Macaca mulatta: one gene and its partner. The protein of the gene in region 2 purifies or fractionates together with the protein of the main gene of each other region. This does not show direct contact. Links are inferred from orthologs where the notes say so. Each region holds a gene or a part of one and is shown on either strand. Other genes may lie near its edges. The genes, in order: DERL1 and SELENOS.

Evidence for each region.
Region 1: the proteins of SELENOS (region 2) and DERL1 purify together in Homo sapiens (affinity purification with western blotting; 6 studies listed by BioGRID and IntAct, with this or other methods). This does not show direct contact. The link is inferred for Macaca mulatta from reciprocal best matches to the Homo sapiens genes SELENOS and DERL1.

What each region holds. Positions count from the first base shown.
Region 1 is NC_133413.1:133,452,534-133,456,348, forward strand, and holds part of DERL1 (derlin-1), read right to left. Parts: intron 1,588-3,815; coding exon 1,476-1,587; intron 1-1,475. UniProt on the Homo sapiens protein: Functional component of endoplasmic reticulum-associated degradation (ERAD) for misfolded lumenal proteins. Forms homotetramers which encircle a large channel traversing the endoplasmic reticulum (ER) membrane.
Region 2 is NC_133412.1:91,636,426-91,640,785, reverse strand, and holds the start of SELENOS (selenoprotein S), read left to right. Parts: upstream 1-1,448; 5' UTR 1,449-1,520; coding exon 1,521-1,596; intron 1,597-2,258; coding exon 2,259-2,393; intron 2,394-3,575; coding exon 3,576-3,682; intron 3,683-4,255; coding exon 4,256-4,345; intron 4,346-4,360. UniProt on the Homo sapiens protein: Involved in the degradation process of misfolded endoplasmic reticulum (ER) luminal proteins. Participates in the transfer of misfolded proteins from the ER to the cytosol, where they are destroyed by the proteasome in a ubiquitin-dependent manner.

The DNA of each region.
Region 1 (3,815 bases), on a different chromosome or scaffold from region 2:
TTAAGTTATACCAGAAAGGTAGACTGCTAAGCACTCAGTATCACAATGGGTCCAACTGGAACAAAGGAGAATAAAAATCACATATTCTGGTAGATTTAAAGATCAAACCCCTGATATGGTGGTGAGAGGACTGGTCGTCAGTTTCACTTCTGCCAAGTTACTTCACTTCCTTGAATCTCCTATTCATCTTTTGGTAAAACTCAGGAAATAAACTAGGTTTCTCCCAATAGTAATAAAATAGTCTATGACCTTATACTTTGTATTAATACAATTTCTTTATTTTGAAAAAGAACCTAGTAGCAAATGCCAATTTAAGGAAAAATGTTACTTGACATCAAATACCCATCCTACTATTTCCCTGCAGTGATGAGGCTGATTCACAATTCTCAACCACATGAACACTGACTTACATTTAAGGGTGGTTCAGAGTTCTCTACCCTGAGGTAACAGCCAGCAAGTTTATAAAGTCTCTGAAGTCAGTCAGCCTTTTCAAAATCATTTAAATTTAACAAAATTATATCCATACTGTAACACAGCGTACTGATGCATTGTTTCTTTAGTGTAAGCGACTCAGAAAAGCATATAAGGTATCGTAGGAAATAAATGACAATTCAGTAAGATTTTTCGAATTTATCCATAATATTACGTAGGTTGGCTGGGCGCGTTGGCTCACACCTGTAATCCCAGCACTTTGGGAGGCCGAGGCAGGCAGATCACTTGAGGTCAGGAGTTTGAGATCAGCCTGGCCAACAGGGTGAAACCCCGTCTCTACTAAAAATACAAAAATTAGCCAGGTATGGTGGCAGGTGCCTATAATCTCAGCTACTCAGGAGGCTGAGGCACGAGAATTGCGTGATCCCGAGAGGCAGAGGCTGCAGTGAACTGAGATGGCACCACTGCCCTCCAGCCTAGGCAACAGAGCAAGACTGCCTCAAAAAATAAATAAATAAATAAAATATTACATTGGTATTCATACCTGATAAACTATTATATATCATTAAATCTTGGTTATATACTGTACTTTAGAGTTGAGTTTTTCAATTGGAGAACAAATCTAGGCTTTTAATTACATAAAATAGTGTTTTTCAACCCCAATCTAGGAGACATATATACTCCAGCCCAATTCTGCACTGAAGGACAAGGACTGCTGCAAAAGAAATGAGTGAGACTGTCAAAATAAATGAGAGGTATACAGCTTAGCCACTAAGGAGATGGACAAGACATGTCAACCTCTGATCTGCTACTTTTTGCATCTATAAAATGGTAACACTGCTACTTATACCTCAGGATGTTGTGAGGATTAAAAATTGAATAAGCTAAGTGCCTGGTGCAGTCCCAGCACAGTCACTGAGCATTTACTATCCATACCCAGTTTCTTTTTGTAATGCTAACTGCCCTCCAAATTCCTCCAAAGAAAACACATAGATTAGTAAATGAGAAAGAAACAATACTTAAAACAACTATGGGTAACATACCTGTTTCAAGTCGTGTAGAATACTGATATAAGAAATACAAATTGACCAAATAAAGAAATCCAGTTCCTGGACCCACAGGGAAATAAAAGGTGGCAGTGATTGGCCTCCAAATCTGTCCAGATCAAAATAAACACAGCTGTTAGTTTCTGTAAGCCTGCTTATTTTTTTCCCTTTTAACTAAACAAAATAAACCCTGCAAAGCATCCTCCTCAATGAGAGGTATGAAAGTGATACTACCAACACAATTCAAGAAAACAGCTGAAGAAAAGTGTTCACACCAGTTACGATCACATCAATTTGCAGATCAATGGAATAAAACGACATCATAAAATAAGCAACAAATATTTCTAAACAAGTTGAAACAAAATCAATACTATATGAGTACATGATCAGTCTTTACTAAGATCAGGCATACAAGTAAGCCTACATCAAAAAATGAATTACAAAGGCTTAATTTCCAACAGTACAGTAATGCCTCTATTTAGGGAAAGAATATTCTAGAATGACAAACCTTGTCCAAAAATGCCACAAAGGCAGAAGTAAAACAACAATTTTTTATTCAAACCAATGCACTAAATAGGCAATAGGGGCACTTTTTCTTTAAAAACATTTCCCTGAAAAAACAAAACATAAGAAGGGTCTAAAGTAATAAGTAGGCCAGGTTCAGTGGCTCATGCCCTGTAATCCCAGCACTTTAGAAAGACGAGGCAGGCAGATCACCTGAGATCAAAAGTTCAAGACCAGCCTGGCCAACATGGTGAAACTACGTCTCTACTAAAAATATAAAAATTAGCCAGGTGTGGTGGCAGGCGCCTGTAATCTCAGTTACTTGGGAGGCTGAGGCAGGAGAATCGCTCCATCTCAAAAAAATTAAATTAAATTAAATTAAATAATAAAGTAACAAGTAAGCCTCATTCCCAACTTCCAGTCTCCCAGTTCCAACAACAGCTGATCAGTGTCCTGTATTTCCTCTAAGAAACACATGTTACTATTACTCATTCTTCTTTATTCTACTCTATATGGCACTGTTTTATACCTTGGTTCATTCCCGACAAAATATTTTAATTGGTTTCACAGTATTCCTTGTATGTGAATGTCTAAACTTTTGTTTAAACTGTTACAATGCCACAATGAATATTCCTGTAAATCCTCTTTATATGTGCATATACAGAATAAGTTCCTGTCAATAAATCTGCTAGAGCAACAGACATAAGCATTTATTTTGGTAGATACTGCCAAATGCCTACAAAAATGTCTGCTCGATTTATACTTCCTCCTAAAAAGTAGATGACTGCCTGTCTTCTCTCCATACTCTCACCATTTCATGTATTATATATTCACCAATCTGAAAACTAATTTTTATTTGCATTATGAGAAGTCAAGCACCTTCTCATGTTTTAAAAACCTGAGAATTTCCTTTATTCATCTGTTCTTCTGGATTTACATTTCTTTTTTTTTTTTTTTCCCTGAGATAGGATCTTGCTCTGATGCCCAGGCTGGCGTGCAATGGCATGATCTTAGCTCACCACAACCTCCACCTCCCAGACTCAGGTGATTCTCCCACCTCAGCCTCCCGAGTAGCTGGGACTACTAGCATGCACCACCACACCTGGCTAATTTTTGTATTTTTTGTAGATACAGGGTCTCATCATGTCGCCCAGGCTCGTCTCAAACTCCTGAGCTCAAGCGATCCACCTGCCCTGGCCTCCCAAAGTGCTGGGATTACAGGCATGAGCCATCGCACCTGGCTGTATTTCTTCAGACATTATGAAATTTCTCTTTCTCATCATTGCAAGCATTTTCTGATCAGTCATTTGACTTTCATGGTATTTTTGCCATATTTTGGCATACAAAGGTTTAATTAAATGTAAGCAAATGTGTCCATGATGTGTCATGTTTAGAAAGTCTTTTTGCTCCAAGAATGTAAGTGTTTACGGTTTTATTTTAGCACTTTCAAGGTGCATCCAAGGAATGAGGAAGAGATCCAACTGTTTTTCTAAATGGTTGCCCTGTTTTCCCAATGCCATTTACAGAGTAACCCTCATTTTTTCCAATTATTTGTAAAACTACTTTCATTGAACATTTACACTCTAGCCTCTTTTATATTAAGGTCTATTTTAACACCATTATGTTTGGAATTGATTCCTATGCCAATATCAAGTTATTTTACTTTTTTTTTTTTTTTTTTTTTTGAGACAAGGTCTCAGTCTGTTGCTCAGGTTGGAGTGCAGTGTCATGACCACAGCTCACTGTAACCTCAAATTTCTGGGTTCAAGCAATTCTCCACTCAGCCTCCCAAGTGGCTAGGACTACAGGCATGTACCATCGTACCTGTTTAAA
Region 2 (4,360 bases):
TTTTTTTCCATGAACTATGACCCCAGTACAGTGTACCTAATGTCCTTCACAGCCTAACAAAAGAGGTCAGGCAACCCTGCTCATCCTGTCTAGTTTATCAGTATTTAGATGTAAGGTGGATTTAAAGCTAATCTGGGACCGAGAATTGCAGCTGTAATTCCAAGAAGTCATTGAATTTAGCACATAAATGTTTCCTGCAAGATGCCAGAGCAAGTGAGAAACCACTCTGTAGCAAAGCAAAGAGTGATGGTGGTTCATCATCTTTTACAACTGAAAGGCAAACATGAAGAAGGAAATTATATTCTCTCCCCTAAAATTCCTCATTAAATTGATAAGCTATCTTTACAGCCTTTATGGATGACATCCAGAGTCCTCGGTTTGTTCATTTGAGGAGTCCATTTTCAAGGTGGCCAAAAGGGGAAAAAGGGCTTTCAGGTTTCTCTTTGCTATGGCTCATGAATGCCAGGTCTCCTTTATTGCTTTCTGAACACACTGCTGGGAAACCTTGATGAGGTCAGTGCTCAAATCCCTGCAGCCGTCCCCCTGGAGGAACTTCTTGGCAAACCTGCGTTGAAGAAACACTGATTGCATTCACGCTTCATGTCGGGGTTTGCCTTCCCCACACTGCTCCTGGCGACGGTGGTGAGGCAGCACTCGGATGTTGTCACCTGTTCATTATTTTTTCAGTTCTATTCCCAATTCCTAACCCTTCTTTTGAGACACAACTAGGTATGTGCACTTCAAATGCTCCAGAAAAACCCAAGGTCAAATTTCAAATAGGATGGTTATGGTCACCATAAAGGTGGTGACATTTGAGTGGTGGAAGAGGGTGCAGGACGACATTGCAGGCAGAGGAACACAGCCAGGACACTATTAGGAGTAACTCTGATCGTGGCTTGTGATGATACAGTATAATTCAACGCAGGTTAGAGCCGTTACTATGATCGTTCTTTCCTAAGAAGTTTTGATTTTGGAGAAAAGAACCTTGAGGATCGGTGGGGGCTTTCTTGGCCTGAAAGGTATCACTGGCAGCAGAAGCAGGAGGCTGCCCGTTTCGTGTTTTCACTTGGGGTGGACGTTGGCTGCAACCCTCAAACGCTGGGAGTCGTCAAACTACTGAGCCCTGTTGTCCAATGTGCCCTGGGCAAGGATGTGGGTGCAAATCCTGCCTCCGGGCGACCACCGGCCTCCTTGGCTTCAGTGTCCAATTAGAAAAAAAAAAGAAAGTAGAAAGTCGGTAAGAAATCCGTGAAAGAGGTCTGTCCTCCACCCCGACTCAAGCCAGGAGACATCACAGAACGTACCAGCACGCGACGTCCGGGCCCCAGCAAATGTAGCCGGGATTTTTCCCCCGCCACGCCCCTCGGCCACGCCCCCTGCGTTTGGCCCAGCGTCGGGGCGGGGCCGGCCTGCAATTGGCCGGGACCACGACCGCGTCCGGGCGCGCCACGTGTGCGTGGGAGCGCACCGGAAGCGTCCGGCTGGAGGCGCGGCGGCCGGCCTGGGCGGCGGTGGTCGTCATGGAGCGGGAAGAGGATTCCTTGTCCGCGCGGCCGGCCCTGGAGACCGAGGGACTGCGCTTCCTGCACGTCACGGGTGAGTCGTTGCGGGGCAGCAGGGGCACGCCGCCACCATGATCGGTGGGTCGTCCTTCGCTGCTCGGGGCGCCGGAGCCTGGGAGGCCTGGGAACGGACGGGCGTTGGCGCTTACGCGGACTCTGGGCAGCAGGCCCGGACCTTGCGCGGAGTCTTCTCGGGAGCCGCACTTCCTTAGGCGGCTCGGCTGGCCATTGTTTGCGCAAGTCTTTTTTTGCGAACCAAGCCCTTATTGTTGTAGTTACTGGGGTCACTCGGCCCTTGGCGTTTGCCTCTGGGACCTGCCCCACACAGCCCCCTACACACTGCTAACCCCGCGCTGTCACCCCTTTATATGTGGTTCCCTAGGTCTGAAAGGCCTTTGCCTTCCTGATTCAGATTAGTTGCTCTTCATTCTTCAAAACCCAGTTGCTGTGCCCTGCACACTCTAACTGCCCCCTATTCCCCAGATGGTTGAGAAGTCTCACTTCTCAGTGATCCCTGAAGTGTCGCACTTCTTGTTCATATTTTAACGATCTACTTAGGAGGCTTTGTCCTCAGCCTAGACCATGAAGGCTTTGAGGTCAGGAGTTAGACTGACTTTGCGTTCGTTGAGTCTTATGGAAAGGTCAGCTAGTAGTGTCATTTTTAGTTTTTTTGAAAACTTTTTTTTTGCTTTTCAGTGGGCTCTTTGCTGGCCAGCTATGGCTGGTACATCGTCTTCAGCTGCATCCTTCTCTACGTGGTCTTTCAGAAGCTTTCCGCCCGGCTGAGAGCCTTGAGGCAGAGGCAGCTGGAGCGAGCTGCGGCTTCTGTGGGTTAGTGCCTGATAACCGAAATGAAAGCGGTGGTTTTACACCTACTTCTTTATATTAAGATTTAGTCTCTTGTTAAAAGTAAGACGGACCACATAGCAAGACCCTGTCTCTATTTAAAAAAAAAAAAAATAGCCAAGAGTGGCAGCACACACCTGTAGTCCCAGTGCTTAGGAGGCTGAGGCGGGAGAATAACTTGAGTCTAGGAAGTCAAAGCTGCAGTGGGCTATGATCGGGCCACACAACACTCCAGCCTGGGCAATTGACTGAGACCTTGTTTTGTTTTGTTTTTTTTTCTTTAAAAAAAAGGAAGTATATGGTTCTTGGTTGGGCGCGGTGGCTCACGCCTGTAATCCCAGCACTTTGGGAGGCCAAGGCAGGCAGATGACTTGAGGTCAGGGTTCAAGACCAGCCTGGCCAACATGGTGAAACCCCGTCTCTACTAAAAATACAAATATTAGTGGGGCATGGTGGCAGGCGCCTGTAATCCCAGCTATAAGGGAGGCTGAGGCAGGAGAAATCGCTGGAACCCGGGAGGTGGAGGTTGCAGTGAGCTGAGATTGTGCCACTGCACTCCAGCCTGGGCTACAGAGTGAGACTTTGTCTTTTCTTTCTTTTTTTTTTTTTTTTTTCTGTGAGATGGAGTCTAGCTCTGTCGCAAAGAGCGAGACTATGAGTAGACATTATGAGTAGAAATTAGTTCATTTCTACTCATAATGCTATTTGGAAGGATTTTTCTTTTCTGTAGAAACAAATACTTAAGAATCTTACTTCTGGGCTAATTAAGGGATGGATAATGATTTAGAAAACTTTGTATTTCCTTGGTAGTCTTCCAGGATTCCAGTCAACCTAGAGACTGTGGGTGTCACTGAGGTATCCAAGATGTGCTCTGGCTACCATCCCATGCTTTATGAATCGGAATTGCTCAGGAGAACTCAGAAATTGGCATTTCTAACAGGTTGCTGGTGATGTAGATATTTGAGGCTAAAATCCATGGCTCGGCAACAGGACCCCTGCCCCCTGAAGCAGTAAAATATATGCAGAGGGGTTAGGAGTACTCATGTAAAAACGTGTTTCATTGTCTGATGTCCATACCTCTTTATACTTTTAATAATATGGACACTCAAAAGTTTCTATTTTATATTGTACAGAGTGCTTTGTCTCCATTTTTTTCTGACATTTTAGAACCTGATGTTGTTGTTAAACGACAAGAAGCTTTAGCAGCTGCTCGATTGAAAATGCAAGAAGAACTAAATGCGCAAGTTGAAAAGCATAAGGAAAAACTGAAACAGGTATGAACTGGCTTCAGTTTGAATGTGTACATAGAAGTTGTCTGAGGCTTAGTGGATAATGATGCCTGTGTGTGTGTTGTCTATAAGCTTCCAGGACCAGGTCCTATCCCATTAGATTCAGTAAGCATTTTAGTTCCTGTGATGTAAGTGTTGGTGATATCAAGAAGTATACACTATTGTTAGGGAACACTAGATGTGTGAATATATTACAATGAAAGGTCCAGAGCACAAAAGGAGGGACAGACTGGAGCAGGATGCATGTGAGTGTGTGCGTGCATGTGCCTGTGTCTCCCACATTACCAAAAATGTACTGATAGGAATGAGTTTCAGAAGAATGGAGTCAGTAATTTTTTTCGTGAAACATTTTGCTTTCTTTAATAGTGTACAAAAACCAAAGCTTCTCTATGTGAGTTAAACTCATACCACCAGATCACAACAGTTTTATTAACTAAAGAAAACGAGGGTGAAGTTTGTTCTGAAAAACGTTTAAATTAAGAATTATCAGAGTTAGTGTTGTCTTTGACAGAGATGGCAGCTTCTGAACTCTTTCTGTACAATGTGATTGTTTCTCAGCTTGAAGAAGAAAAAAGGAGACAGAAGATTGAAATGTGGGACAGCATGCAAGAAGGAAAAAGTTACAAAGGAAATGCAAAGAAGCCTCAGGTGACTGGAGACCTC